4 linked regions of the Diceros bicornis minor genome follow. The protein of the gene in region 4 binds, or shares a complex with, the protein of the main gene of each other region. Links are inferred from orthologs where the notes say so. Each region holds a gene or a part of one and is shown on either strand. Other genes may lie near its edges. The genes, in order: STRN3, STK25, STRN and STRIP1.

Region 1 (7,373 bases), on a different chromosome or scaffold from region 4:
AAGTGACTCTGACTAGCACTCTCACTTAGGAATCACTGTCACAGAGCCTCACTAACACAGCTTTACCCGAGTCACAAAGACAAAACAGCTTTAAGACATAATCCTTGGGTTAAGTTTCAAGTTTCTAAGACAGACTTTTACCCCAAATTCTTTTTACAGAGAATAAAACCATAATGCAAAGTTCCAATTTAAAATCATTTCCAAAGCCAGGGAAAATATGATTCCATATTAAAATTTTACATCAAAATTAGATATACCTCAGGCTCTTTGTATTCATTATTGAAGTTTTATCTTGAATATTAAATATATTTAAATACACTTTAAATATATGTGTAGATGAACAGTATAACCAAAGCTGAAGACAACAATGATATGTAAGCTGTCTTATTTCTGTTATCTTTCTTAAAAATAAGTTTAAATTTACAGTTAAAATTCACTGATGCTTCACTTAAACCCTCCCAATAAATTTTTATTCAACACATACATTTTTAAATCTACATGTCACAAGCAATCTTACTGAAGAATGAATGCACTTAAAGCAAATTCAATATTCCAGAAGCAAACTTGAAACTCTACTAACCCAGTAAAACATTTCAGAGAAATATATAAAAACAAAAACACACAAACACAATCATGAACATTTTATTCCAAAAGAATCAGTATGAAATAATGAAAATCCCTGGAAAAAATTAAGAATGTAGAAACAGGAGAACTACTTCAAAATAATCAAACAAAAAAAGCTTAGAATGGCTATATCAGAACTAATATGCCAACAGATCAACTGAAAGCAAGTAAGCAAAAGGAATCTTCTTTAAAAGACTTTTCTGTTACTGTCAAGGAAAGGAGAACTAGAAAGGAAAGCTAGGGCTAGGGCAGACAATACAGACCTCATTCATGAATAGATTTTACTAATTTAGACACAAGTAAAACATTTTCTCAGCTACTTACATTAGCGAAGCTTATGAACGACTAATGCAAGTGCTAACTTCAGAAGTGTTAAAACCTAAGCTTTCATACAACAGTACAAAGGTCAAAAACACTATATCAGGGACTGGTGAAAGTTATATTTTTAAAAACCCAATAGTATATCAAAACATAATTCTAAAGTATTGAATAGACTAACATGTTAATTTATACTTAATTTTTCAAGACTTGATAAAGTATCAAAATATCTCAGTATTCTCACTTTGTAAAAGTTTAACTTTACCCACTTTGCAGAATCAAATAAAAGTTTACTAGTTCAAAATCAAAGTGAAGAGATATATATATTTGAGGACACTCTTTCAAAGTTAATCCAATCTTCTTTCTTTCAACACTACATTTCCCTAACTATCCACCGCAGGCATATAAGACATATATGTCAGCGCAGAATACTGCTTACATTCTAAATATACACCAGACTGAAGAACAGGTGCAACACTATTTAGATGCATGCTTTTTTCTTCTAAGCCTAAATTTGCCTTGGAAAGGGATTTAAAGATAAACACAATACCCAAAAAAGTTAAACAATCCTTTTAAAAAGATGTAGCCATTCTGAAATCCAAGACATGAGCCCTGTTTAAACTACCAACACCTTCCAAAAGCTAGGAAAACCAGCCTATCAAAGTTTCACCTTAAGAGGACCGAGGCAGGCTCAATTATGCAGGGTCCTGAGGATATCTAACTTTGCTTCCGCTCCCTGAGTTAGTAAGGCGTGTCAAGTACGTTTTACTTCAAGCTAATATTAAATCTTGTCTCACTCGTTTCACAAAGACAGGACAGATAGTCTGGTTTGGCTTTTTACGGGCAAAGAAGGGGAGAGAGGAGGGGGAGGCCTGGTAAAGGGCACTCTAAAAAGAAAAATTCAGTATAGAGAAGCCTGGATGAGTCAGTCACTAGAGTAGGGAAGAACTCAAAGGGAATCTGAGCAAATAAGGCAGCATCCCAGGTAAGAATGTCCTTCAAGTTGGCAGCAGGAAATGAAAACTTCACAGGTCAGCCGCAAGCCATTGTGCTTGGTAGCAGCCCTGGAAGGAAGCGTGGCTGTCAAGGGGTAAGTGCGTACCAACTCCGGGGGAGGGGGCCAGACATGCCAAATCGGAAAGGGGGGTGATCCGGCAAAATGTGGTAAAATGCCCATCCCAGTCCCTCTCCTCGGGCTCTCCATCTTCAGAGGCATAGGCAAGAGCAAGCTCAGTGCCTAGCAGCCCCATGCCGGACTCTCCCACAGAGAGGAGCTCGGCCCCAAGCCCCGGAGACCCGGGCAGGCCGCCTCCAGAGGAGCCCCCGCAGACGCCATACTCAAAGCCAAAATGGCTGCCCCAAGGAAGCCCGCACCGCGCAGCTAGGGAGGGTTGGGGAACAAGCTTCTGCGGAAAAGGGGGAGGGGGAGTCTAGGAAGAGCCGTGGCCAGGAACAACGCCCCCGAGCCGCACAGGTAGGTTCCTCTCGTCGTCCCCAGGCCGCGGGGCTCCGACAGAGGGGAGTCCCGGCCCCACCCCCCGGCCGGGCACCCCGCCGCCGCAGCCGTCCCGCACACCGACCCCAGCGAGGTACCTGCAGTTCGGCCCGCTCCACCTCCCAGTGCGCCCGCTCCATCTCGAAGCGAGCCCACTCGTGCTGGATGTAGTGCAGGATCCCTGGGATAGTGTATTGCTGCGGCCGGGACAGCTCCGGGCCTGCCGCGGGCCCCGCTCCCTCGGCGGCCGGAGGACCCCCGCCGCTCGCCGCTCCATTCCCCCCTGGCGAAAGGCTCACGTTCCCCCCAGGTCCCTGCTGTGGCCGTGGAGGGGCCGCCATCCCCGGGCCGCCACCACCGCCTCCGGCGAGCTCGTCCATTGTGTGTGGGGCCCCGGCCGGGGCGCAGGGCGAGACGCCGACGGCTGGGGGAAGGGCCGGGGAGGGTGGCCCCGCGCTGGTGGCGGGGCGGAGGCCGGCTGGGAGAGGGGCGGGGAGGACGTTGTTGCTGTATGCCTGCCGTGGGTCAGAGCAGGGAGCTGCCGGCCGCCGCCATTACAGTCCCTCCTCCATCTGCCCGTCTCACTCACTCACTTTAGGGGAAGGGGGGGCGGCGGCGGGAGGGGCAGAGGGGGCAGGGTTGGGAAGGGGAGAGACGTAGGGCCGTCGCTCCCGCGCAGCATGCCGGGTAGAGAACGCCGCCGCACGACTAGTAGCCAAATAGAGTCCGGCCTCACCCTACGCAGGCGCACTGACGACGCAGTCGGGGTTGCCGTTAGAGGCGGGGAAGGCTCCCCGGCCCCGCCCCTAGGCCCGCCCTCAGGCTCGCTCCGGGTGTCTAGCGGCCGCTCCGGGGCAGTGGGCCTCCGACTCCGACCTTGGGAAGCGAGTAGGTGTCTGGCTTCCCAGTGGTTTCCCTCGCGCAGTCAGGCCCCGGGCGCCGTTCCCCAGCCAGGGGTGTCACCGACGTGCCTGCTTCCTGAGCTGGGTTTTAACCTGGCTGGTCGCTCCGGTGCCCTCAGCCGGTCCCGGATTCCTGACGTTTCTTTTGCATTCCTTGCGTGTTTCAGGCAGTCCCAGAGGGTCGGGGCTCTTTCTCTGCTTGTCACTCACTCTCCCTCTGGTTTCTTAGCACCAGTCAGTTCCCGGGGCCTTGGGGACGTTCTCTTTTGGCAAATAGCCCGGATCCCACCGGACCTGGGGACTGATTCCCCGTCTACGTTCCGAGTCCCGGCTTTGGTCCCACTTCTGTGCTTCTCGGTCGCCCGTCGCAACTGGTTCTTCTCTGCCTCACCTCTTCTTTCTTATTCTAGGATGGATTCTGTTTGGGGGGTTAGGGAGGGGAGCAAGAGCGCCTGTTTTCGTCTTTTTTATTGGGAGAAGGGGAGTTAATGAAAAACTTTAGATCTTGACGGTGGTGGGTAGAGGGAGACAGATACTTTGGAGGAGACTGGTTAGACTAATAGTTTGATGTTTTAGAAGTGAATTAGCTCACAAGTATTGTCATTCGTAGCAGAATCTTTTGATGGAAATAAAATATAAAAGCATCGTGAATATAACTTAAAATCGTAGATGAATGGCTAAAGGTGTTTTCCTGGGTCATTAAATGTTGCTTGAGTGAATATAATACACACACAAAAGACAAGATTAATCTTTTAAGTGCTGTAGTGTGTTTTTATGTGCTTAGGTTGCCAGGAAACATCCTTAATGAACTAGTAAGTTTATGAAAGTTAATGTAGCTAATAACCATTTGGTTGAAAACTAGGACAAAAATATTTAAAAACATAATTTTTAGGTTTAGTAATTACAGCTATGCAGGAAAATTGCATATAAAATTGCACTTTTAAATTTTTTTTCTTCTTTACTACCAATAAAATTTTCACTATGGAATGTAAGGACCACTCAGGGTGTAATTTCAAAGAGATAAAGTAGTACGTCTTAATTTATCATGTCTGCTTTACTGTTGTTATAGTTCAAGGCAGAGCACATTGGACTTATTCATGCTGCCATGTTTTATTTATGTATGAGGCAAGGTCTTAGGTCACAATATTAAGAACTATTTCTCCACATTCTTAAAGTACTGTTTTTGCATTTTATAGCGACCGACATACAACCTGCTTATTCAGTCTTGTTCTTTTTTGAGGGGCCTCACAGCACATAAAAAGTTCAGAAATACCCTGCTGCCTGAAGCCCATACAGCACACATTTGTGAAAGGGTGTGGTTGACCTCAATGATGTTGGCATCAAGAGAAGAGGAACATGCACACTTAATATTTCCCACTGGTACCTCAAGGTCAAGAAAAGACTGGATTCATAATCCTTCTTTTTTCCTCCCCACTGACTTTCAAAAAACAAAAAACTCTGCTCCTCTTCTATTACCTGTCTTATGTTTTTTTTTAGTTTTATTTATTTATTTATTTTCCCCCCAAAGCCCCAGTAGATAGTTGTATGTCATAGCTGCACATCCTTCTAGTTGCTGTATGTGGGACACGGCCTCAGCATTGCCGGAGAAGCGGTGCGTCGGTGGGCGCCCGGGATCCGAACCCGGGCCGCCAGTAGAGGAGCACGCGCACTTAACCGCTAAGCCACGGGGCGGCCCCCCTATTACCTGTCTTATTAAGTGGCACTACATCCAAACCTGTGGCCTGGCAGTCATGCTGGTACCTTTCTTTCACTCAGCCCCCACATCCAATCCTTTTCTCAGTAACATCTTTCATTATCTTCAATAACGTCTTAGCTAAAACGTTCCCAAGTCTACTCTTCCCCGACCTCCCACTACCACTGATGCTTGAGTGATCTTCAAAAGGCAGATCTGATCCTGTCATTCCCTGCTTAAAATATTTTAGGGATCACCAGATTTAGAATAAAGCCCCAATTTTAGCATAGCATGTAAAGTTCCTTCAGAGGCTGGCCTGGTGGTGTAGTGGTTAAGTGCGCGCGATCCTTTTCAGGAGGCCCGAGCGTTCCCTGGGAATCTGCAGGTTTGGATTCCCAGCGCGCCCTGACGCACCGCTTGTCAAGCCATGCTGTGGCGGCGTCCCATATAAAGTGGAGGAAGATGGGCACGGATGTTAGCCCAGGGCCAATCTCCCTCAGCAAAAAGAGTAGGATTGGCATCGGATGTTAGCTCAGGGCTGATCTTCATCACAAAAAAAATAATAAAATAAAAATCCTACAAATTCTAGATCCTCTCTGTTGTTTAACCTACCATCACACCATCATGGCACTGCATTCGCTCCGCCTGAACTGTGCTGTTTTTGGCTCCTAAATGCATAATGATATTTCATTCCACGGGAATTTAACACATGTTGTGCCCCATTACCTCTCCTTCCTTCCTTTCTTCCTTCAAAACTCAGCTCAAGTGTTACTTCCTCCAGGAAGCTTTCCAGATTCCTGAATTATTTAGAGACCCTATCCTGGTAGTATCCCATGCTTATCTCCTAATACTTATTACTTTGAATTTATCTATGTATCTATGAGTGGTCAGTGATGCTCATACTAAACACTATGAAAGCAACACCTACACATAACAGGTACTGCAAATCTTTGCTTCACTTATTTATTTTATTTCCTGATTGGCTACTATTTTTCAGATACTCTACTAGTCCTGGTGATCCACTGTGAACCAAACAGACATAATCTGCTCTCACAGACGTGACAGTCTAGTTTTTAGGCAAACTACCTAGCACCAACCACCCTGGCTTCTTCAATATCTTGTTCAGCTCTGTCTTAAAACTGCCTCTTTTAAAATTTCACATGTGCTCCCTATTTGAAGAATTCCGATTGAATGTGTCTACATTCACTTTCACTATGGTTTTATAAGTGTCAATAATGCAATCTTTGGCCATGGTCTTCCTAGATCATAGTCCTTTATCTGCAAGATTGCCTCCTAGAGGGGCAAGACCCATGCCCCTCTTGTTCGCAGCTGTCCCCCCAGTGTCTGGGACAGTGTGATCCCCAGTGAATGTTTGATGAATAACTTAGATTTAGACTACACTAATATGAGTATTTTTCCTTCACCACAATCATTTTTTATTAGTTTTTGCTGCTACCATTTACCAGTTATCTCTTAAGGTTCAGTGACCAGAACTGCCCGGAGTATTAAAAGTAAAAGACACCAAGATTTTCTCCTGTGTTGGGAGAATATTTATTACACTTCTGACTTTGTGTCTGTGACTCCTGAGGACAGTCTGCAGTGAGCTCCTAGAACCTTGTCCCCTGTAGATACTGAGCTCTCCCAGGCCCTATACTCACCTACAACTCACCTAACTGGAACTCCCTCCCCAAACTGTGGCTGAGTCATTTCCTCTCTTCCGTCTCACCTTTGAAATTCCCTATTTGTTCTCTCCTTTCATCAGTCTGTTCATCCCTCCTCTACTCCCACTGATTCTCTCAGTTTCAGTATACTACTCATGATCTTCGAGAAAGCCTATTTATATCTTTAATCCGTTTAGGATTTTAGGGTGTGTTTTTTTCTTTCCCATAAGCTAATCTTAGACACCTGTGTGCTTATTCTATCTGACCAAAAAGGGACTTGTCATATTGCATGTGCATATATTATGTCAGCAAAGGTATGTTAAGGCATTCCAGGCTTTTAAATAAGTCGAGAGTAGTTATCACTGAGACACCTTCTTCCCAATTATTGTAATACCTGATATACAGCGAGTTTTGACCCTGTATGGCTCCCTGTAATTACTCACCAGAACATCCAGTTTGATACTTGCTGACTGTTCTAACAAAGAGCTCAGTCTGGCTCACAAACACTAATCTAGTCATCTTTTTGCACCGTCTGAAAAGGTTGTGACAAGTATTCTTATCCCCATGCGGAGGGGAGAAAGCTGAGATAAGAGTTCTGTGTCACTTCCACAAGCCTTCAGAAGAATAGGAAGTGGTCCCGCTCTCACATCAGTGAGTGTATATGTGTGCTTAGAAACAGG
Region 2 (7,866 bases), on a different chromosome or scaffold from region 4:
CTTTCACACTCTTTGGGTTCACACCACTGCAGGTCAGTCACCTGAGCAGACAGCATGACAGGAACACTCCTAGCTGTGATCCTGACCCTCCAAGCACATCACAGGGACAACCCGCTCCCAGCCCCACCAGGTGAAGGAAATGCAAGTAGCTTCCAAGTCTGGGGGCCTCAGGCTGCCCTTCTAGATGACGCACATGGTCTAGACAATCACTCAGGCCCCTGGACTGGCTCTGGCATCAGTTCAAATGATGCTATTGTCAATGGCGTCAAATCAGCCCTGGGGCTGCCAGGTCCAGGGCCACCACCTGGGATTGTGTCTGGCGTTAGTGTCACCCCACAAAATGAAGGGAGCCAAGCCATCCCCAGCCACCACAAAACGGGCTGCAGCCAAGCGAGCACGACACGGGGGACCCCGCAGCCACTCAGGCCCTGTAGGCGGGGCAGGAACTAGCTAGGTGTAGGACAGCCATCTAGGGCAGGAGCACAGGCCACGGGGGAGCACGTCCTGCTGCCCCACAGGGCCACAGTGACAACCCTCAAGAGAAAACGACATCCTGTCAAGCTTCCTGCCACCGACAAAGGCTGAGTCTCTCCGCCCCTGAAAGGACAAAGGGGGCTTCCTTCCTTTAGGGTCCCTTCCCCAGCTCCTCCACACCCGCACTCCCTCCCAGGTCTCATCCAGACGCCCAGGCTAAGCGCCACGCACCAGTGGCACACAGGGGACAGAGGCAGCTCAAGGCTCCAGTTCCTCATACTGGGTCCCAGGGGAGCTATTCCTACAGCTCTTAAAAATAAGCTGGAGACAAAGTTTTTGCACAGCATCTTAGTCATGTAATTTACCAGACACAAAATGTCAAAAATGAATGAAAAATCTGTTAGCTTAATTCAGCGTCAGTCAGCAAGCCCTCGCTCCCATCTGTGGCCACAGCTGGTCCCGGATGCCATGCCCAACAGCTGCGCGTGGCGTTCCAGGTTTCTCCACAGAGCCCGGCTGGGTCTGGAGCTGAGCTCTGACTCCAGCCCCTCTGGCCCCCAAGAGGACACACACGCTTCCTGTTCCTCGCATGCCCAGTCCTCACTGATTCAGCACACAGGAGCAAGCCAGAGGGCTACACTCCCTTTAAGGGGAGATTCCCACACCTGGCAGCAGTCAGCCCAAATCGTGCCCAAACCGAACAAAACCAAACAGCCAGGATGCAGGAACACCTGGCCACCGCAGTGGTGTATTCTAGCGCAGTCAGCTTCAGGTCACACTGGCTTTGAAAAAACAAAAAGGCGGAGAGACGCAGACTACCACACCCCCGCCGGCTGCCACCGACCCTCCTTTCCCAGCACCAGGCACCAGCAGCAGGTCCTCGTTCCAGGCAAACTCTGTGGAGGGCTCCCAGGGAGTCAGCCAGTGAACATGCAAGGCCAGACACCTCCAGGCGGCTCGGTGTTGGGAACTACGAGAACTAATCGCCCAAAGAAGAGAGACGGTTGGCCTCTTCCAGGGAAGCACTTCTCGCCTGGCTTACACAGGTTCTGCAGAGCAGCCTTCTCCACCTCCCCCAGTGGAAACACTCGCACTCGCGTCCTCTGCTTTCCCTACATGCCGACTCTTACACCACAGCCACTTAACGACAATCCCAGCCCCTCTGGATTGTCCGTCAGGTGGGGGTCTCCAGCGTGGACCCTGCTCTTTGACGTCCCTCCAGATGCGCAGATCCAGGTTCCTGCAGGATTCCCACCCAAGCCACCCAGCCCTGCGCCCAAGATAGGTCTCTGCACACCCTCCTGGATCTTGCACTGTGGCTCTAGTCTCAAAGGCCTGTGGGCTTCTGCCCCACAGCACACCCCATGGGCCACCCTGAGTCAGCCCTGCTCCCCACCAAGCCTGAGCACCTCAGGAATGGTCCCCACTTTGCCCATGACGGGCATCACAGGGTTCCCCAAGAACACTCCTCCCTTCAGCCCACATCCCCTTAATAGACCGCTCTCCCAAACCCCCAGGATGATTTTCAAAAGATACTTCTGGGTGAAATAAGACGTCTCTCGTGATCCACACCTCTCTTGGACTCTGCAGTCTGCACTCCCCTTGGGGGGCTCAAGCACGAACACACGCTTACAAGGCAGAAACCAACCCTCACCTGGTTGGCGAATCCCCTGAGGTGAGCCATGTCTGCGCTGCCCTCAGACCATCCGCTGCAACCCCAGGAGGCCCCAAGATCCCGTCTTGAGGCTCTGGAACCCGGCTTGCTCGCTTCAGTCAACTAGAAGGAGAGCAGGCCCCTGGGTGCCCTGTTCGCCCCCTCCCAACAAGACCCCCAAAGGCCGCCCGCCCAGCCCTGCCGGCCCAACCCCCGAAGGGCTCACCAACCCGGGGCACCCCCTGGAAGCCCCTCCCACCCCTGCCCCCAGCCTCCAACCTTCCTCCAGGCCGGCTTCCTCACCCCCCCCCACCCCGTCCGCCCCCAGCGCCCTCGCCCCTCCCCTAGGCCATCCCCCACCGCTGAGCCAGGCCCCCAGCGCCCTCCTCCCGCCAGGTCCCGCCCCCGGCGCCCTCCCCCCAGCCAAGCCCCGCCCCTAGCGCCCTCCCCAGTAAGCCCCGCCCCAGCGCCAAGCCCCACCCCCCCGTGACACCCCCCCCACCGCCGGACCCCGCCTCCAGCACCCACTCCCCCGCCAAGCCCCACCCCGAGCCTTTCCCCCGCCCCCATTGCTCTCACTCCACCTCCAGCACCCTCCCCCAAGCCAAGCCGCGCCCCCAGCGCCGACCCCCCCCAGCGCCCACCCCCCCCGCCAAGCCCCGCCCCCAGAGCCCTACCCCGCCCCATTCCCCCCACCGCTCGGACCCCTCCGCAACCGCCCCAGGCGCGGGCCCGTCCGGCAGCGCGCCCACCTCCGGGGGGCTCCATCCCGGCCTCCCCCGGCCCGCTCTGCAGTGCCCGCGAAGGCTCCCACCAGCAGCCTCCGCTCGCCGGGGTACGCCTGGGCCCTCCAACCCGCGAAGCAGCGGCAGCGGCAGCGGCGGCGGAGAAAGCCCGGCGGCGGCGACGGCGAGGGCGGCGCGCGGCGTCGTGGCCCAGCGCGGGGCTCTCTGGGACACCGAGTCCCCCCGCCCGCCCCGCGCCCGGGTGCCCGCCGGCGCTGGACTACAAATCCCGGCAGGCCACGGGGCGGGCGGTGCCGCGGCGCGCACGCGCGCCGCGGGGCTCGCTGGGACTCCGAGTCGGGCTTCCTGAGCGACTGCGGACTACGTCTCCCGGCAGGCCGCGGGGTGGGGCAGGGCAGGGGAGGGGCCAGGCAGGGCAGGGGGCGGAGCCGGGCAGCGGTTGGGTAGAGGCCGTCCTCCGCTCCTCCTTCTCTGCTCTCCGTCTTCCGCCTTGGTCCGCTATTGCCGCTTTCTCCGGCGGCCTGCCGTCCCCGCCTCATCTCCCCTCCCCACCGTCCCTCTCCTGCTGTCCCCGCTCTGTACTCCCTTCCAGTCCCTTCATGTCCTTCTCCATCCCCACTCCCCTGGCCTGCATTTCCTCCTCCCTTCCATCTTGGCGGGCATCGGCCCACCGTCTTGTCCCCGCTGCCACCGTCCTGTCCCTGGGAGCTGCCCCTGCAGCAAGCCAAATGTCAGTCGAGGGTCGAATGCAGAAAGAAAATGTGGTCCATACGTGCAGTGGAATATTATTCTTCCCCGAAGAAGGAAGGAAATTCTGACACAGACTACAACGTGGATGAACCTGGAGGACATTATGCTCAGTGAAATAAGCCAGACACGGAAGGACAAATATTGTATGATTCCACTTGTATGAGGTCCCTAGAGTCGTCAAAGTCGTAGAGAGGGAAAGTAGAGTGGTGGGTGCCGGGGGCTGGAGGAGAGGGATTGGGGAGTTAGTGTTTAATGGGGACAGAGTTTCAGTTTTACAAGATGAAAAGAGTTATGGAGATGGATGGTGGTGATGGTGGCACAACAATGTGAATGTATTTAATGCCACTGAATTGTACATTTAAAAATGGTTAAAATGAGGGGGCCGGCCCCGTGGCGTAGTGGTTAAGTTCAGCACGCTCCTCTTTGGTGGCCCAGGTTTGCAGGTTCAGATTCTAGGCATGGACTTGACCACTCATCAGCCATGCTGTGGTGGCAACCCACATACAAAATAGAGGAAGATTGGCACAGATATTAGCTCAGGGCCAATCATCCTCAAGCAAAAAGAGGAAGATTGTCAATGGATGTTAGCTCAAGGCCAATATTCCTCAGGAAAAAAAAAGTCCACTCTACACCTAACATGTGTCCCAGCATTCCCACTCCTAGGTATTTATTCTAGAGAAATGAAAACTTATCTTCACACAAAAAACCTGTACATAAATGTCTACAGCATACCTATTCACATAGCCCCAAGTGGAAACACCCCAGAGGCCTTTTAGCGGGTGAGTGGATAAACTGTGGTCCATCCATATGCTGAAATACTGCTGAGCAGTCAAAAAGAGGGAACTACTGATACATGTGACATCTTGGGTGAACCCTACAGATGTCATGTCAGAGGAAGAAGCCAGTCTCAAAAGGTTACATAGTATATGATTCCACTTAGGCGATGTTGTCAAAACAACAAAATATCAGCCAAGGGGAACTGATCAGTGCTTTCCAGAGGTTGGGGGAGCAGCCTGTCCCTACAGAGGAGCAGCAGGAGCAAGCCTTTGAGGGGTGATGGGACTGCTCTGTATCCTGATTGTGGGGGGGATCACACAAATCTATACATGCATTAAAATTCATAGAACTGTACGCTAAAAAAGGCAATTTTATTGTATGTTTTTCAAAAATAAAAATATAAAAATTAATTATAATTCCTTCATATCAAATATGGAGTCCGTGTGCAAATTTCATATGTGTGTGTGTGTGTACATATGGATATGATTTCATATATCCGACTGCACACAGTTTGTTCAAATCAAGATCCCAGTAAGGTCCATATGTTATGATTGGTTTGCTTGTCCCTTTTTTCCCCCTGCCATGTAGGTGCTGAAGAAGCCTAGCCACTGTCCCCTGCAGGGCCCCAGACGGCACTTTCCTGATTGCACCCCCCTCACCATGCCATTTCAGTTGTTCCTCGGGCCCTCTCTCCTATGACTTCCCAGTCAAACTCGAGGCCTAGGTCATCTTTATCAGACTGCACACACACCCCTAAATGGGAGGACAGCAGTATGTCCTCCTGGAAAGTCCTGGAACCTGGTGTGTCTGAGGACACCCCAACAGGCACCCAGCCCCCTCTCCTGCACGCCCCCACCCCGAGGAAAGTCCCGCCCCACGCCCCATTGATGCTTCCCTGAGGATGTGCAGAAGTGGGGCTGGAGGAGGGATTAGAGGAGGGCGCAGCCCCCCAGGGACCACTGGTCCACCTTGGCCCCGGGATGGGTTGGCATCACCAGCGGAAACTGAGAGAAGAGAACGATTTGAAGATGGAGTAGGCAAGGCTGCCTCAAAGCCAGGGGAGGCTGCGGGATGACCTGGGGGGTCAGCTCCACTGTAGAGCCCGATGGAAGCAGCCCTCCCTGAATACGTAGCCTCTACGTCAGAAGAGCCACAGCGTCAGGGATGGCCCTGGGCCTGTGCACTTGCTGAGGACAAACGGCCTCATGGACGAGCCCTTTATTCTCTGCCAAACCTCAGGGTGTGACTACAGCTGGGGTGGTGGGACCCAGCCTCCCAAAGGCCATCCCGCTGTTCCACACGGCTGCACACTGGCTGCTGCTTCTGGGAAGGTGGGGTGCTCGCAGGGTCAGCTTACTGCCTCACTTCACTCATTGTGAGTTCTTCTGTCCTCAAGGGAAACCCCAACTGAGGCTCAGGGATCCTGTGAGGCCACCAAGGTGGTGCTGAGGGCGCTGGGCCAGAAAAGCAGACCATCCTGACCAGTGTCTATCTAGGGAGGCCAGGCTGGGGAAGGCCAAGCCTCGTTGTGGGGCTGCTGCCACATTCTTTCTGGGTGCCCAGTCTTCTCTTCTCTCCAGGGACCCAGATCCATGAAGCTACACAGGGCTAGGAATTGGGCAAGGGGCCGGCCCCAGACCTGCATTTTCTCAGCCCATTGCCATGCCAATCGGCACCTTAGTGGCTGCCCCTTTGTTTGGTCCAGGGGAGCCCACGGCCATCCCTGCACATAACCCCGGGCTGCCTCACTGTCTTGCTGCCTGTCAGGGTCCCCTACTCCCTGACGTCAGCCTCCGTGTTAACCGCAGGGCCTCCCTGAGCATCTTCAATCCTCAGGAAGCTGATCCAGGATGGTGCCCCCACTAGAGTATTTCTGAATGCCTGGGGGAGAGAGACAGAGAAACAGGCACAGAAAGACAGAGAGAGGAGACGTGGCTGAACTCAAAAATAAGATAAGAACCTCTGTGTTTCAGAAATAGATCAGAAACTCAAAGCGTGGCCTGGACGAGTCCTGGGATTGTTGCGCTCCGGGTCTGGAAGCAGGCAGCAGTGGCCTGGAGTACAACCTTTGCATGGTGGAGGTCAGTGTCCCAGAGGAGGACAGGGAGGGAAGCACACTGCAGAGACAAGGCTGAAAAACCCAAATGATAAACAAGCTTGTGAAGTTGGGGCTCCGGGCAGGAGATGGAACTTCAACCTCCGGATTTGCTCCCTGGGTAGGGCCAGGAGGAACTGGGTGGATACTCCCCAGATTGGCCTGCAAGGGGGACCACAGGGCAGGGCCCAGGGAAAGGCGGTGGGAGCCAAGGGATGCGGCCCCAAGGGGCCCAAGTTGGTGTCTCCCAGACAGGGGACCACAGGCCACAATCCAGGTGAGCTGGTGGCAGGCTGGGGCTGCTGCTCCCCCAGCATCTGGTACTGCTGCGCCCAGTGCAGCCCGGGCTGTATCCTGAGTCACCGTCGCTTCCCCCTCCAGAGAGTGGTCTCGAGGTGCCTGTGGCCAGTCAACTCTCTCAGCCTGGACTTTAGATGTCTGAGACCTGGCCACGCTTCACCCATGGAGGACCGTGGACCTCAGGGCCCTCTCTTTCTCTGCCTAGGAGGTGGCCACAGTGCGGAGGCTGATCCCAAACTGGAGAGCTTACCGCCTGTGCTGGGGGATGCCTGGGCCAGGGGAGGCCTATGTGGGTTTCACAGGCTCTGTAGTCTCTCTCCAAGACAGCTGCAGGTGAGCTGGTGAGAGAGCCCGGAGCCAGGCCTCCACTCAGGGATCCAGAGAAGACCAGAAAAGTAGCCCACGTTTGCTTTCATTCACTTGGGAAAGCTGCCGGGGCACCAACAGGAAGAGGCAAGACGCCTGGGCCCAGGGGATCCCGTGCAGACCCCTGTGACAGCACCTGGGATCCCCATCCTAGACAATTCAGAGACAACATGGCAGAGAGAGGCCAGGAAGGAGCTGAAAAGCAGCCTCAGGAGTTAGGAGAACGGTTATGGAAGTGGGGAGGCTGCTGTTGTCTGCATCCCAAGGTTGTGGGATTCAGACTCTAAGGGTAACTGAGAAATACTGAGAAGCTCCCAAGAGCCTGTCCTTAAATTTTCAGGAATTTTGTGAGCTGGTTGTTAAACACAACCATTATCAAAAAGTAATTATATACATATTATTATATCTATCCCATATATTAAATAGAGGAAGATGGGCATGGATGTTAGCTCAGGGCTAATCTTCCTCACCAAAAAAAATAGGTAAAAAATACTCATCACCTCCTAATTATTTTACTACATTTTTCTGTTATAGCTATGCCCTTGAGGTTGCTTACAGAGTGCGTCAGTACAGTGGAAAACCTGCGCAATGTTGTGCTGCTCCACAACTCTCCATCAGTGAGGTCATGTTGGCAGCATGACCAAATTCAAGTCCCAGGCCAGCAGGGTTGTTTTCTGGAAGAACTTTCTTCTTGGCTTACAGGC
Region 3 (7,762 bases), on a different chromosome or scaffold from region 4:
CCATTCAACTCTTACTTCTTATCGTTTTCAAGAAAAATCCCAACGGCAAAAGAAAAATGAAGGGATGTTAAAATTTAAGGATGTTGCTATAAAGAAATGATTTAAAAAATATATTTTCAATTATGCTACTAAGGGAATCAAAGACTACAGATTTCGTGGAAACTCTCTCCCCCAATAATACATAATATAATACTTGTTCTGTTTGGAAAATATGACACATTTTTTAAGTTTCTCTGCGACAATTTAATTTGAGCACAAACCAAAAGACTGTAAAAATGTAGTGCCCTTAATATGATGAGCACCAATTGGAAACCTACCTGAAGTTTAACATTTGCCATAAGTAACCGAAAAAGTAGTGTGTGTGTGTGCGCGCGGGCGTGTGCGCACATATATGCACACAAACGCCCCATAACATTTCTGTCAACAATGAACCACATATACGATGGAGGTCCCATAAGATTAGTACCATACAGCCTAGATGTGTAGTAGGCTATACCACCTAGGTTTGTGTAAGTGCAGACTATGACGTTCACACAAAGACTGAATCACCTAATGGTGCATTTCTCAGCACGTGTCCCTATCGTTAAGCAACACGTGACTGTGTTGCTTAACAAACTGAATAAAAAACTGAAGAGTGATTAGTTACAGGTAAATTGAAAAGTTTAAACATGGTGGGGTGGGGAGGGGTGAGACGGGCTGGAAATTCCCAAACTTCCACAAGTAGGAAGGTAAGAACTGTTTTCTTGTTTGTTTTTGACCAAATTAGTGTGACAGCTTACATCCCCTAAACTGGAAAAGAAATTAAAACTTAAGCAGCTACATACAAAAATCATTCTCTGCAACTGTACAACGTTCAAGTTAAAGCCTGCCTTTAAGGCTTCCTTGAAATCTGGAAATCCACAAGCTCTTTTATGGAATGCATTGCTAAAAAGGTGAATTACCAATAAATTTAAATGAAGCATTTAAGTCTGCTGGTTACTATACAGACATGGTCAGATTCATTACGAGAAAAATTACAAAGATCAATAGACTAAATACTAAAGGAACATAATAGTAGGGATGAAAAAGCTGCCAAAAAATATAAACATACAACTAACTGTAGAATAAAGAACCAGAAGGAATCTTAGAAACAATGGGTCACTCACCGGGCTTCATTCAACCCCTCCCAGAGGTCTTCCCTAACCACCTCATCTAAAATATCTGCCCCTATCACCCTCTATTTCTGTACCCTGATTTATTTTTCTCATAGCAGTTGCCACTATGGGTCAGTATATTACATAGGTGCATTCGCTGACTAAAACATAAACTCCATGAGGGCAGAGGCTTTGTCGGCTTTGTTAATCCCAGTGCCTAGAAGCACACAGCTAGCACTCAATAAATGTGCTGAATAAATAAATGATGAAACTGAAGTTAAGAGAGGTTAAAGGACTTCCTCAAGGTCACAGAGCTAGCAGCAAGCACAGCCAGCACCCTGCCTGCTTGCTCTTTCCACAGCCCCTTCCACTACACCAAAGCAGCCTGTTCCAGCACATGATTCTATTTAACAGATTTCTCCTTTCCTTTTTTTTTTTAAAGTGCCCAAGAAAATACATGTTACCAAAAAAAGGGATACATTGGCTAGCATTTTAACTTCAAGTGTTTCACCAACCAAAACTTTACTCAGATTTCATAAGCATACAGGATTAGCCAGTAAAACAGAAAAGCACAGCCACTCATAGTCCTTTAAGTTCCCTGTGAAATTGGCGTCTGCCTTGGAAGTTTTAAGAACAGCCACTGAAACCTACTTACCAATTCAGAACGGCCTGTAAAGTGTCAGCCTCACTTTCATTCTTCTAAGAGCCCACAATAGCTCCTCCCTGGATATACTTTATCTTGCAGATTATGCAAGGAAATGTAACCAACTTTAAAGCCCTGTTTAGTGCCTTTTAAAGTACAAGTCAATCTCACAAAACACAACGTAGAATTAACACTTGAGAAGTTTTAGATTCTGAGAACAGGAAACCATCACCTGACTGTGATCATCTAAGCTCTTCATTCAAAATCCACGAATCTGAAATACCTAAAAGAAACGCGGAGGGGGTGAGGGAGAGGGAAGAGAAGAAATATTTGCATATGTAAAAGGGGAGCTGATAGTCCTAGTAACACTTTCACCCAACATCAGCTTCTTGCCTAAAGTCAAGGCCTCACGAACACAACTTCTGTTGTCTTCTTTGATCACCTTCCTTTCAGACAGAGGAGACAACTGCCAATACCTTTTGCGGGGAACGTCTCTAGACCTAGCATGAGCCTCACTACGGCAGTGTATGATCTGCTCGGCATCTCTCAAAACTACTGTCAGCCCAATTAGTAAACTGACAGGGAAGACCTAAAACGTGCGATGGCAAGAGCTGAAATGAGACTGAGTTAAGAGTGGGAAGGTGTAGACGCAAAGGAGCAGGGAGGATAAACAACGCATCAGGGGCGGGAGTGGGAACCCGGGTCAAGGAAGTGGGGTCAGCGAAAGCCAAAGGTGAAGGGGGGAAGGGGACGAGGTTCTGGTGGGATAGGCGGGAGCAAACCGGGAGAGAACCAGCGAGGGCTGAGGGGGGAGGGGAAGGGTCCGGGGCGGGGCGGAAGGGAGCGAAGAGGCGGGATGAAGAGGGCCTGGCCGGGAGGGTCTTTACCTGCAGCTCCGCCCGCTCCACCTCCCACTGGGCTCTCTCCACCTCGAAGCGGGCCCACTCGTGCTGCAGGAAGTGCAGGATCCCTGGCAGGCTGTACTGGGCTCGGGCCGCCCCCGCCGCAGCCGCCCCGTCGCCCGCAGCGGCAGCCTCCGCCAGAGGCCCGAGACCCTTGGCACCGCCGGCGCCCGGGTGGTTGTTGCTGAAGAAGACGCCGGGACCCGCCTGCTCGTCCATGGCGGCCGCAGAGACCCGGGGAGCTGCCCAGGCAGCCAGCAGCAGAGGCAACGGCGGCGGCCAGCAGCGCCTCCTCCTCCCTCCGCCGCTCCCCGCCCACACCCCAGTCAGCAGGGAGCAGCCTGGGCGCGGGGGCCGGCTGAGCCCGGGACGGGCCGGGAAATGGGTCAACTGCGGCGCGCGAGCGGCCTGGGGCTTGCTGGGAAATGTAGTCCCGGGGCGTGGGGCGGGCGTCCGCGGCGGAGGCGGCCTGTGGGGATGCGTACGGCTCGGGCGCGGCCGCGGCCCCGCCCCGGCCGGCGACGGCGGAGGGCGGCCCCGCGGGCAGCGCGGGTTTCCTCGCGGTCGGGCTAGGCGCGGGGGGGCGGTGCTCCAGTCTCTCTCGCACGCGGAAGTCATCGGGCGGTGCTCCCTGCCGCACACTCACATACGGAAGTTATCACGCCAAAATACCGGCCCGAGCTGCACATCTTTTAGGGTTTCCTGGTAGTTCTGTTAAGAAACAAGCTCAAAGCGAGCTTCTCCGGTCCGGCCCCTGCACTGGGGTCTCCAGCCGATCTCAGCCCTCCCTCTTCGGCTCCGACTTCGGTGTTTCTCTGATCCAAGACATTCCCCAGTTCTGCCAACCCGAGTATCGCTATCGCTCCTGCCTTTCTTTTTCACTCGGGGGTTCAAACCTGTTGCCTGATCAGTTTTCACTGATAAAGAACTCTGATGACCTCTCTCCTAGACTGGCAGCGTTCAGCTTCTTCCAAATTCTGGTTTGTTCACACCTCATCTGAAACAGTGCTCCGCTCAAGTCGCTTTCCCTTTGCAGTTAATCTTGCAGTAAATCCTGTAAATTTTCAGATACCCAAGGCTCTGTTATTTCAGTCTCCTTTTTCCGTGCAGTTTTTACTCAATTCAATTAAACAAATATTTGATTGTCGGTTATATCTGTCGCTGGGGATATAAAGATAAAGGACACAGTTCCTGTCATCAAAGGGAGATTGGCAAGCATATAATCAATTCTCACAGTGCCTTAAAGCTACACTACCTAAAAGAACAAAGTCCCCTTTCTGCTCCCTAGAACTGTCTTAGGTATGCAGGCGCTTCTCATTTTCACTTGTCCCGTTCCCAGTTTCTTCCACGGTTCACCTGCAAACTGGCAACAATATTAGCCTACAAAGGCACACCAAAGTCCTTTCAAGCGTTTCTCGGTAAATGTTATCCGTCTCCGAAATCCCTGAAATTACGTCATTATAACTTCAGACTACCATAATGAAAGGAAGGTGCCTGAAAAAATTTAACAAATGAAAATGATTTTAAGTACTTAATTTATCACCCGAATAAGTTTTTTGTAATTCTTTTGTTTTGTGGGGTATCAGACCTGATGGTTATGAAAAAAATTAAAGATACAGTCTGGTGAGTGATATGTAAAGGAAGGACATCCTGTCCCTGTGCTCTACCCTCCTCTCTTCCCATGGCTACATGTGGAAAAGACAGGAAACACGTTGTACCTGCTCTGGTTGCAAATAAAGATGGCAGGCTCTCTTCTCCCAGTTACTGAATGTTTCTGCTTTATGAGTTCATTCTTTATTATAATAAAAGGTTGATCCAGGCCTGGCCAAATTCCCTGTGTCATAAATTGTTTTGGCTGTAATTGTCCTTTGAGATACTGCCCAATCCTGTCATTCTACAGCTCAAGAAACTAAAGTCCAAAGAAGTTGAAACTTGTCCACAATGAGGCTTTGAGGAGTGGCACAGCCAAGATTAGAAACCAGAATTCCTGACTGCCAGTTCATTGATCTTTCCGTTAACACATTGCCTCCTCTCTTACTTAGACCTATCAAGTAACAAGGGGACAATAATGAACAAGGGCATGTTTTTTCATCTGAGGGATTTAAGTAATCTCACAATGTTGAATGTTAAGAGCTATTTTTTTCTCTAATAGTTAGAAGACAGGTCTGAAAAGGCCTTTAAATCAATTCATAACAGACTATAAAACAAATTTATAGATAACTTGGACTATCCCACATACAACTGTGCTTTAGTGCATAGTTCGACTTTCTTACTCAATATCTTTTTGCTTTTCAAGGACTTGTTTATACACAAAACTATTTATGATCTATAATGTCATGACACCGTCACTCAATATACCAAAATATTAAGAATGATTATATTAAGGTGGAATTCTGAAGAAATTTACTTTTCTCTTTTTCTAAAAATTTCCATATGTGGTACTAATTCTTTTGTAATTTAACAAAAAAACATTACTTTTGAAAGAAGACTTTCCCTTGGAGTTCTTTTGCCCTAAATTTCTTTAAGAGAACGAGGACCATGAATCCCATCATTTCCTCCTATACTGAATCAGCTTCTGAAACTGTTAGTTTTTGAGTAGTGAGCTTACCAGTGATTTTTTTTTCCCCTTTGTGCTTGTCTATATTTTTCATTTTCTGTATTCAGCATGAATTACTTTTTTTTAAGTAAACACTTTATCACATGTAACATATATACAGAAAAGCTCACAAGTGGTAAATGAACAACTCAATGAACTTTCACAAACTGAACCCTTCCACATCACCACCAGCCAGATCATGAAACAGAACATTGCAGGCATCCCAGAAGCCCCCACTTGATGTGCATTCTCAGTCACTACAGCAAAAATGTTTTTGAATTTGAAAAAAAAACAATAACTAGAAAGGATATGGCAATTAGTGAAAGCTAAATTTTATTCCTCACACTACAATTTTTCAAGTCTGGAAATCTTAGACAAATGGTTTAACTTTTTCAGCCACAACTCTCTCATTTTTAACATGAGAATAACATTTACCTTATAAAGTTACTGTGAAGATTAAATGAGAGAAGAAATGTAAATCCCCTAACACAGTGCCTGATATATAGTATAAAGTGAATAATGATAGCTGTTATTGTGCTAGAGTTCACAAGACTAACTGAAATAACACTTGTAAAAATCATGAATACTAGGGGCTCAAAAACTGTTCTTTTTCCTTTCTCATCCCCTATTCAGAACTTTAATCCAGCAGAGTTAAAATAATCTTTAAAAAAAAATTAATGCCTACACCTATTACGTATGCCTCAGCCCTCAAGGTGTTGCTGATTTCCTGATTGTTTCATTTTATAATTAATAAAGCCTGTGACACAAAAAAATAGGGTTTCTTTTCCAAGCACAGAAAGCAGCTGTCGAAATGTTGATTTATATATCAGCATAACCAGTTTAAAGTGAAAAATTGTGAAATGCTAGAAGGTTATTTAGATAATTGAAGTGTTTGCTATTTTTTGGTTTATATGTGTATGCTTTGTGAGGTAGGGATTATAGTTCTACACAGTGACAATTCATCTGCTCTTTTTTTTTCTCATTAAAATGAGTGCTGGGGCCGGCCCGGTGCCGCAAGCGGTTGGGTGCGCGCGCTCCGCTGCGGCGGCCCAGGGTTCGCTGGTTCGGATCCCAGGCGCGCACCGAAGTACTGCTTGGTAAGCCATGCTGTGGCGGCGTCCCATATAAAGTGGAGGAAGATAGGCACCGATGTTAGCCCAGGGCCGTCTTCCTCAGCAAAAAAAGAGGAGGATTGGCGGATGTTAGCTCAGGGCTGATCTCCTCACAAAAAAAAAAAAAAAAAAATGAGTGCTATTGGGGCCAGCCAGGTGGCGCAAGCAGTTAAGTGCGCGTGCTCCACTGCAGCGGCAGGGGGTTTGCCGGTTCGGATCCCGGGTGCGCACCGACGCACTGCTTGGCAAGCCATGCTGTGGCGGCGTCCCATATACAGTGGAGGAAGATGGGCACAGATGTTAGCCCAGGGCCAGTCTTCCTTAGCAACCAAAAAAAAAAAAAAGAGGAGGATTGGCAGATGTTAGCACAGGGCTGATCTCCTCACAAAAAAAAAAAAAAAATGAGTGCTATTTTTTAAAAACTGTTCAAAATGACAAGTTATTTGATAATTTTATTTATTTATTTTTTTCCCCAAAGCCCCAGTAGATAGTTATATGTCATAGCTGCACATCCTTCTAGTTGCTGTATGTGGGACGTGGCCTCAGCATGGCTGGAGAAGCGGTGCGTTGGTGCGTGCCTGGGATCCGAACCTGGGCTGCCAGTAGTGGAGCGCACACACTTAACTGCTAAGCCACAGGGCCGGCCCTTAAATGACAAGTTATTTGGGTCTCTGACTCTTTAACTGCTCAAAGAAAAGCTTCCAAGTTGAACTTGATGGCTCTTTCAGAATTCTGGCCAGAAGAAAAGGAGTGGACTGCTGGACTGGAGAGAGGCCTCTGCTAGGGTGAACAGAACTTTGGGGAAAAGGAATATTCAATAAACCACTATTTATCAACCCCTTCTACCATGTGCCCACTCCCTAATTTCTGTCACCTGTCCCTTCTGCCTACTCTGCTTCTACCTTTCCTCAGCCTCCAAACTTACTCCCTAGTTTTGAAGTCTGGTAATGACTGGGTTGGGGAAACAGCCAATCACAAGTTGGGAAGTGGAGGAATTCTAATATCTAAATTTTTTCTGGGAGTCCAAGAATTAAATCTATATCACAGTCTTGTGATAAGATGGGAAAATAGCCTCTATTATTTATTATTATTATTACTATTATTTTCTTTTGGAAGAGTGTGGTTGAAATTAGAGAGTTGCCTAATTTTAATTTAAATTTCACTTTATTTAATTTATTTGAATAAATTTAACTATTTAGATAAAATTTAATTTTGAAATTAAAATTAATTTTAATTTTGTAGTGACTGATATTTAGAGAAATAAATACTTAAAATCTGAAATCAAGATTGCTTTAACAAATCTAAATATCTAATACAGGGGGAGACAAATGATAACATCGCTCTGAAGTCGTAGCAAGACTTCTCTTGGAATATTG
Region 4 (7,914 bases):
TAAAGACCAATAAGGAAAAAAACATCCCCAAATAGGGGCCAGCCCGGTGGCGTAGTGGTTAAGTTTGGCACGCTCCAGTTGGGTGGCCCGGGTTCGCAGGCTTGGATCCTGGTGCAGACCTACACCACTCATCAAGCCATGCTGCGGCAGCAGCCCACAAAGAAAATAGAGGAAGACAGGCACAGATGTTAGCTCAGGGCTAATCTTCCTCACCAAAAACAAACAAACAAAAAAACAAATAGAAAAAACAAAACCCAGCCAAATAATATGAAGGTCTATGCTTTACCTGAGAGCTCTGCAGCCCACTTATCAGTGTCAGCATATTCAAACTCGAGGTCTGGTGACTCAGAATAGCCCTGTTGAAAAAAAGAGAGAGAGTGACACAAAAAGTCATTGTGAGTGTTTTCCAAAGGAGGAAACACATATGCTTCCAGATACACTGCTGTGTTACACGACACCATCACCTCCACTCTTCTGATATTTTTTCGCAGTATTTTGTCTCATGGGCGAACTCAGGTCTCCCTATTAAGCCCTCTCGGAGCACCTTGCACTTTTCCTTTAGAGCACTTATCATAACTTATAATTATATACTGGCATGTATACTTGTTTAGTGTCTGCCTCTCCAAGAGACTGCAAGTTCCTTGAGAGTGGGAACTTTGTCCATTTTTCTCATCAATGATTTCACGATGCCCAGCACACTACTTGGCATGAATGAGTGAATGAATAGTTTATACTCAAAAAAATACTTGTTGGATGAATGAACACAAAGCTTCCATGCATTTTGTATAGTGAATGACCATTCTACATGGTGCTAAGATTCCGGAAGCCTCATTTCTTTCTTGCTAGTGGGCTACCAAAAGCTCAAGACAAAAATGAGCATCGACACTCTCAGCCTTCCTGCCTTTTTCTCAAACTTCAGGGAGAAGTGACAGACAGAGTAGGCAGCAGCCAAACAGAATGGCTCCCCTCCCAGACACAGGAGAGAATATGACAAAAAGAATCTTTTTACTGCTGGGGATAGGTGATCACTGAGAATATGCCATCTTGGAAGGCTTGTTCTGTGAAGAGAGAAGAAGTGAAGAAGTCCTCAGGTTTAATCACAATCTACTTGGGAAGACAAAGACCACCCACAAAATGCCCTAACATGCCCACAAACACTGAATGACATGAAGAATTCAACTCCTTATTCAGAGGCAACAGAATGTATACTTTCACAGGTTACTGAACTTATTTCTTCATTTATGGAACAGGGATGACAAAAATCCATCTTGAAGGTTTTTAAGGACTACTCAAAATTATGTAGCGCACAGTGGGCTCTCATCAAGTGTCAGTCTCCCTGTCCTCCAGGCATTGCTCAGGCTCCCAGCCTACTGATTTCAGCTATGACTCCAGAAAGAGCCCAGGGCAACATCAGCATCTCTAAGAAAACGAATTTAGACAGGTGTCTCAGCTTAAATGTGTTTACTGACCGACCTTCTACATTTTCAGTCTATATGGAAATTAAAGGATAGAAAGAGAAATTTAAATGTATCAAAGGGTGTTTATTTGACCATTCATGGCTACTTAGGAAAATTTAAAACTATTTTTAAACTATAACTCCTCTCATAATGAAGGTGGGTTCACCCCCACCACTTTCATAATCCTCTACACTTGAAAAATTATTAAGTAGTCTCCATTGATGTCCCATCACCCCACCAGGCACGGGCTCCTACAAGGTCAGTTTCACTGCTTTTTCAAATAATTCACTTCAAGCTCAAAGTATGTCTACTTTGGACTTGCCAAATTTTGACACGTTTTACCAGAGGTTTGCACTTGCCAACAAAAAACAAAAGCTTGAGAGGAACTGATTTCACAAGTCTAAAGAGAGTACTATCACGCTTTAGTATGACCTGGACATAACGTTATGCCTGGACAACGAGGAATTCCCTCTCATTCTTCAGCGCCTGACTGCTGATCAACCTCTGAGTTGTCTCAGGTGAAGGAGCCTCACAGTAAGCGCTTTAGGAACGTGCTGATTAAGAAGCCCTAAAACGCTGCGACGTGTGTCTTCATTCATGAATTCTACAATGGGAGGCAGTGGGAGTAATTCTTTAACTCGGGGTGAGGTGACTAGTCAGCTCCAAACTATGGTGTCTCCGGACCGGGAGGAACAGCCCACTAGCAAGAGAGGAGGGAATGCTGAGTTCTAATGTACGTTTAAAATGTATATTTCTGATCGGAGTTCAGCATCGGGCGCGCTGGGCACACCAACCACCAGGCACTGTCAAACCATGGCCCGAACCCGCCGTGGCTAAGGTCTGAGTGAACAGGGAAGGTTCCCTCCCTCCTACCCTAGCAGTCTCCGGGCGCGTAGTACTATTAGTGATAATGAGCTCCGTCCGGCTTCGCAGTGCCTGCCAAAGCGTGGCCAGGCCCTTCCCTGCCCACACACGCCGTCCCCCGCGCTGCGGAACCCACAGGACCAGAGGCGATTAGAAGTCGGGGTGCAGCCGCCCGGCCCCCTGCAGCGCACGCAGACCACTGACTCTTCACCCCCGAACTGGGAGCGGGGCGGCTTCCCCAGGGGCTGGGGCCCCGAGGCCGCGCCCACAGCCCCAGCCCCAGAGGAGCAGTCACCGGCTCCGGAGGTTCTCCCGGGCGGCGGAGCTCGGGGCGGGGACCCCGGCCTCGCGCCCCCGGCCCCGGGGATGCCAGCCGTGCTTCCTGCTCCTCTCGCTGTAAAATAACAAGTCCCCTGCCGGGCCCTACCGAACCCTCTGAGAAGCCCACCTCGGATCAGAGAGCGGCCCCGGACCCGGGCCACCCGCCGCCGCCGCCCGCCGCTAGCCTCGCCCCCCCGAAGCTCCTGACCTCCGAGTCTTTGCGCTGGTTGCGGTTGAACTCTCGGGCTTTGCCCCCAGGCAGCAGACCCCCGGCGGCCCGCGGTGCCCCGGGTGGAGGCTGCGCGGTTGCTGGCGGCGGAGGTGGCGGCGGCTGGGGCTGCTTATTGTTCAAGATCAGCGAGCCGGGTCCGCCGGCTGCCGGCTCCATCTTGGCTGCTCCACACCCCCGGCTTAATTCGCGGACAGTAGCCGCGATACAACTCTCGCGTGATTTCCTCCAGGAACGCTCCCTGGTCGCCATATTAAGTGTGGCGGCAAGTGCCGGAAGCCATATTGACTGCCCAACACCTCGTGAGATTCTGCGTGAAACGTTATTCTTCTCGGGCCAGTTCGTTTCCACTGCTTTTTCAGTACCGGCTTAGTTGTTTTATTTGTGCGGCCTCCCTTAGCTCCTTCAATCAGTTTAGTCTCCCTTTCCTTTCTTTAACATCGTTTTGCACTTGTCGCTGTTACAGCCCTGTTGAAAGCTTAGGGGATACAGTAGTGAACAAAATGGACACCATCCCAGTCTTCACGAGTTGACATCTACTTGGAGAGGTATGCTAAGCAAATGAATAAATCAATAAAACAATTACAGTTGTGACAAATATTTATTCATCGTTCATTCAAAAAACATTTAGTGAATGTCTTCTAGCTCCAGGTAGTGCGATAGAAGGGAGAATAAATCAAGTTCCTGCCCTCATGGTGCATAACATACTGCCTGGTGGGAGAGACAAACAGTGAGCACGCAAATATAATGTTAGACAAACAGGTGCTGAGAAGAAACAAAAAGAAGTGTAAGGGATTAGAAGGTGGCAGCGCTGGTGGGGGCGGGGGATGGCTATATTAGGCTGCCCCAGGAAGGCAGGCCTGAGAGTGCGATTTTGAATGAGTTCTGAAAGAAGTGAGAGCGGTGCAGAGATCCACAGAGGCAACACGGGCAGAGGGACCAGATAACTGCAGAGGCTCTGGGTTAGTGTGCTAAGAACTGAGTGAGCCAGGGGAAGAATAGTAGGAGATGAGGGCCAGGTAATGCATGAGCCAGATAAATGCAGGGCCTTAAAAGTCATGGAAAGGAGTTTGGATTTTATTCTAAGTGAAATGGGAAACAATGAGAGGATGTTAACCAGGAGGGTGTCATGGTCTGATGTTTAAAAGACCAATCTGGCTGCTTTTGGAGAAGGGATTGGAGAGTTGCAAGAGTAGGTGAGGGTAATCGGGTTAGGAGACTATATAGATGGAAATAATAGTGCCTTGCATCAGGGTGGAGTTTTGGGTTGATATGATATTTTTATATTGTGTAAATAGATTCAACAGGATTTGCTGAAAGGCTGGAATCCTATCAGCAGGATGGAGAGGAATAAAGGATGAGTCCTAGATTTTTGGCTTGAGCAAGTGGGTGGGTGGTTGTATTACTTATTAAAATAAAGAAGTCTGGGAGAAAAAAAACAGGTTGAGGGAGAAGATCAAGATTTCTGTTTGGGACATGTCATATTTGAGATGCCCGTTAGACATCTTAGAGGTGATGTGTAATAATTACGCGTTACTGTGCTGTGAGATCCTTAAAGGCATTTTATTATCTTTGTCTCTCCAGAACTACATCTTGGCTGCTCCACACTCCCAGCTCAATTCTAGGAAAGTCGCTGTGGTGCAACTTTTGCATGATTTCTACCAAGGTCCCACCTAGTAGGTGCTTTAAAAGTCTTTTTTTGTAAAATAATGAATAAATCCAAAACCACCATGTTGCTACTTCCTCCTACCTAGCTTCCTGTTCTTTGCCTCTATTCCTTCTCAAATCTAGTCATACACTTTGTAAATTAGCATTTCATCCAAACTAGGCTGGGCCAAGCTGATAGGAAAAACTAAGGAATTTGCAGGAAAAGGACCAGTGCTGAGAGGCTTCTTAGATAAAATCAGCAAATCCCACACGACCCAACACACAAATGATGTTTAGTTTTAGTGACCACAGTTTGGACAAGTTCTAAGACTGACCTACCATAAGCTCTATCATCTGGGAAAAAAAAATTTAGACCTTTAAACACTGTACACTGCTTCAGCTACATTCAGAACAAGAAAGGTTTGGGTTCAGCAATTCCACTTGTAGTAATAAATCCTAAGAAAATAATCAAAGATTTAGACAAAGATATATGTATGATGATGTTCCAGGCAGTGGTATTTTCAATAGTGTAAAGTTGCGACCAACCTAATCTGAGAAATAGCCAATAAGAAAATGGCTAACTAAATAATGGGGTATGCATAAGATTGAATATAGAGAAGCCATTAATATTTGTGTTTAATATTAAGAATTTTTAGTGACATGGCAAAATGCTTATGATATAATTGAATGTACAATTGGTTCTGTGTGTGTGTGTGTGTGTGTGTGTGTGTCTATGTCTATGTGTAGAAAAGAGACTGGAAGGAAATATACCAGAAACTTAGTAGGTTTTATTTCTGGATGTTGGAAACATAGGTTATTTTCATTTCCTTCTTTATACTTTTCTGTGTTCTTGGAATTTTTATAATCAATGTGCTATTTTTATTAAGGTATAATTTATACTCAATAAACTGCACATGTTCAAAGTATACAATTTGATGTATTTTGACATATGTAAACACCATAAAATCATGACCACAATCAAAATAATGAACATATCCATCACCCCCAAAAGTTGCCTGTGCCCCTTGGTAATCCTCCCTTCTACTCATTACTGTGCCCCTCTCTCATTTCTAGTTAACCACTGATAAGCTTTCTGACACTTAGATTAGTTTGCATATTCTCCAATTTTACATAAACAGAATCATACAATATGTATTCTTTTTTGTCTGAATTCTTTCACTCAACGCAGTTATTTTGAAATTCATCCATCTTGTTACATGATATTAATAGTTCATAAATAGCATCCCATTGTTTATCCAGTCACCTGTTAACAGACATGTGGGTTGCTTCCAGTTGTTCTGGCTTGTTCAAACTTAATATTGAGAGGTAACAAGCCCTTTTTATAAAAACTGTCTGAGCCTGTGTGGAAACCTTTCCTGAATGAAATGCAGTGTCTCCAAGCTGTGACTAGCTCAAGAATTCTAAATAGGAGAGCTACTTATTTTATTTATTTATTTTTTTGTGAGGAAGATCAGCCCTGAGCTAACATCTGCCAATCCTACTCTTTTTGCTGAGGAAGACTGGCCCTGAGCTGACATCCGTGCCCATATTCCTCCACTTTATGTGGGACGCCGCCACAGCATGGCCTGACAAGCAGTGCGTCAGTGCATGCCCGGGATCTGAACCCAGGCCGCCAGCAGTGGAGCACGCGCACTTAACAGCTATGCCACTGGGCCGGCCCAGGAGAGCTACTTAAATTGGCATCACTTTTGAGTCCCAAAGAGTCCTCCCTTTACTCTGGCAAAAACTCCTTGAACTATACTCCATTTGGCTTCTGGTAGGAAAAAGGATTCCAAATGTGAAGGAGCTGAAGCACAGCTGGAGAACTCACTCTTCTCCATTTGCTAAGAAACTTGCAGAAAAGCACAGCCCCATAGAGGGTAGAAGTTGCAGAAACGCCTTCATGCAGTTCTTTTCCTTCTTTCCTCATCTGTAAAATGAGGATAATCCCACCTGTCTTATGAGGCTATGGATCAAATGAGCTAATTTATGTGAAATCATTTTGAAAACTGTAAAGCATTGTTTTTTCAAAAAAGAGAATTATTATTACCAAGAGGTGAAGCCTAAGGTGAGAAGGCCCTTCCTTCACCATGAGCAGTCATGGTTCAAGAGACTGGAAGTGAAATGTTATATTTGAGACATTGTAGCATTGCAAGGGCTCCACCGAGAACAGGGTGGTTGTTCCAGCGGGCTCTGTTGAAGGAAATTGGCACATACTGTGTTCTTATAGGATGTCAGGTACTGGGCAAGATGTTTCACATCCATCCATACCTGAGTGCGTGCTGGCAGACAAAGTGAGCCTGTTTCTGGCATTTTCCATCTTAGCCCTGGTCAAGATATTGCTAGTCACTGAAATGCTCAATATTAAAGTTATGACTCCTGGAGCATCTATGGGCAGATCTTCCCCTCTAGTTGTAGTGCCATGTGGAGTTCTCTCCATTAATGACTATGAGAAGAGGAAAAGATTAATAATATTTTAGGTAGGTGGTTAATAGGGCAAATATCATTAATCCTATCTTCCAAAGGAATCAGTCAGCTTAACTCTGTCCCAGGTCGGATTACTTTATAACCTCCTAGCCTTCTTACATATAGATTGGATTAGTCAAAAGAGGACCCAAATATACATCCAGTGGCTGATTTGACATCTCACGTGGAAGTCTAATGGGCGTTTCAAACTTAATATGCTACAGACAGAACTCTGTATTCTCCCTTTCTTGCGCCAAAATCTGCTCTTCTCCTGCTTTTCCTTAGGATCTAAATAAATGGTATTACCGACTACCCATTTTTCTCAAGGCAAAACCTAGGACACATCCTTGATTCCTCTCTTCTTCACCCCTCACATCTAGTTCACCAGTGACTCTCTCACCAAAACATATTCTGGAGCTCCCTATTCATGACCATTGCCACTCTAGTCTTCCCCACTTCCTCTCCTGGTACCCTATAACCAGTTCTCCTTGCAGCCAGGGTGAGGTTTTAGAACCACATATCAACTCATGTCACTCACTTGCTCTCAATCTTCCATGGCTTCCCACCTCACTTAGATTTAAATCCTAACTCTTTACCCTAACATATGAGACCCACATGGGTCCAGCAGGGATCTGCCTTCTTCTCCCACCTCATCTCCTACCACTCTCCTCCTTTAGCTTCATGACCCTCCATTCTCTCTCTCTAGCATGCCAAGTCTGCTGCTACCTTAAGACCCTTGTTCTGGCTGATTTTTTGGGAGAGGGGAACTTGGAATATTCTTTTTATATAGTAATAATAACAAGAGCAAATATTTATATGTGCTTGCTGTATGGCAGACACTATGCTAAGGACTTAAACTCGTTTAATCCTCACAACAACCCTATGGGATGGATACTGGTATTTCTCCTATTTTGCAGATGAAGAAATCAA

Evidence for each region.
Region 1: the proteins of STRIP1 (region 4) and STRN3 are in contact, whole or in part, in a cryo-EM structure (PDB 7K36), measured with the Homo sapiens proteins. The link is inferred for Diceros bicornis minor from reciprocal best matches to the Homo sapiens genes STRIP1 and STRN3. Residues at the interface, in NP_149079.2 of Homo sapiens: Arg441, Ile445, Tyr447, Leu449, Thr455, Val456, Val457, Gly458, Leu459, Arg491, Ser492, Pro493, Leu494, Ser495, Phe792, Leu793, Pro794, Val795, Asn797, Cys798, Leu799, Val802; in NP_001077362.1 of Homo sapiens: Thr64, Pro66, Gly67, Leu69, His70, Tyr71, Gln73, His74, Val88, Glu89, Ala91, Glu92, Ala95, Arg96, Phe99, Leu100, Glu103, Gly106, Gln107, Leu110, Asp113, Leu114.
Region 2: STRIP1 (region 4) and STK25 share a complex: the UniProt entries of both Homo sapiens proteins name them as parts of the core of STRIPAK complex. The link is inferred for Diceros bicornis minor from reciprocal best matches to the Homo sapiens genes STRIP1 and STK25.
Region 3: STRIP1 (region 4) and STRN share a complex: the UniProt entries of both Homo sapiens proteins name them as parts of the core of STRIPAK complex. The link is inferred for Diceros bicornis minor from reciprocal best matches to the Homo sapiens genes STRIP1 and STRN.

Annotation. Positions count from the first base shown.
Region 1 is NC_080744.1:17,618,050-17,625,422, reverse strand, and holds the start of STRN3 (striatin-3), read right to left. Parts: upstream 3,030-7,373; 5' UTR 2,818-3,029; coding exon 2,536-2,817; intron 2,417-2,535; exon of another isoform or gene 2,143-2,416; intron 2,033-2,142; exon of another isoform or gene 1,753-2,032; intron 1-1,752. UniProt on the Homo sapiens protein: Calmodulin-binding scaffolding protein which is the center of the striatin-interacting phosphatase and kinase (STRIPAK) complexes.
Region 2 is NC_080776.1:28,317,295-28,325,160, forward strand, and holds the start of STK25 (serine/threonine-protein kinase 25), read right to left. Parts: upstream 3,029-7,866; 5' UTR 2,943-3,028; exon of another isoform or gene 2,881-2,942; intron 2,252-2,880; 5' UTR 2,159-2,251; coding exon 2,129-2,158; intron 1-2,128. UniProt on the Homo sapiens protein: Oxidant stress-activated serine/threonine kinase that may play a role in the response to environmental stress.
Region 3 is NC_080751.1:47,156,308-47,164,069, reverse strand, and holds the start of STRN (striatin), read right to left. Parts: upstream 3,037-7,762; 5' UTR 2,898-3,036; coding exon 2,664-2,897; intron 2,523-2,663; exon of another isoform or gene 1,789-2,522; intron 1-1,788. UniProt on the Homo sapiens protein: Calmodulin-binding scaffolding protein which is the center of the striatin-interacting phosphatase and kinase (STRIPAK) complexes.
Region 4 is NC_080743.1:43,079,651-43,087,564, reverse strand, and holds the start of STRIP1 (striatin-interacting protein 1), read right to left. Parts: upstream 3,031-7,914; coding exon 2,851-3,030; intron 357-2,850; coding exon 287-356; intron 1-286. UniProt on the Homo sapiens protein: Plays a role in the regulation of cell morphology and cytoskeletal organization. Required in the cortical actin filament dynamics and cell shape. Part of the striatin-interacting phosphatase and kinase (STRIPAK) complexes.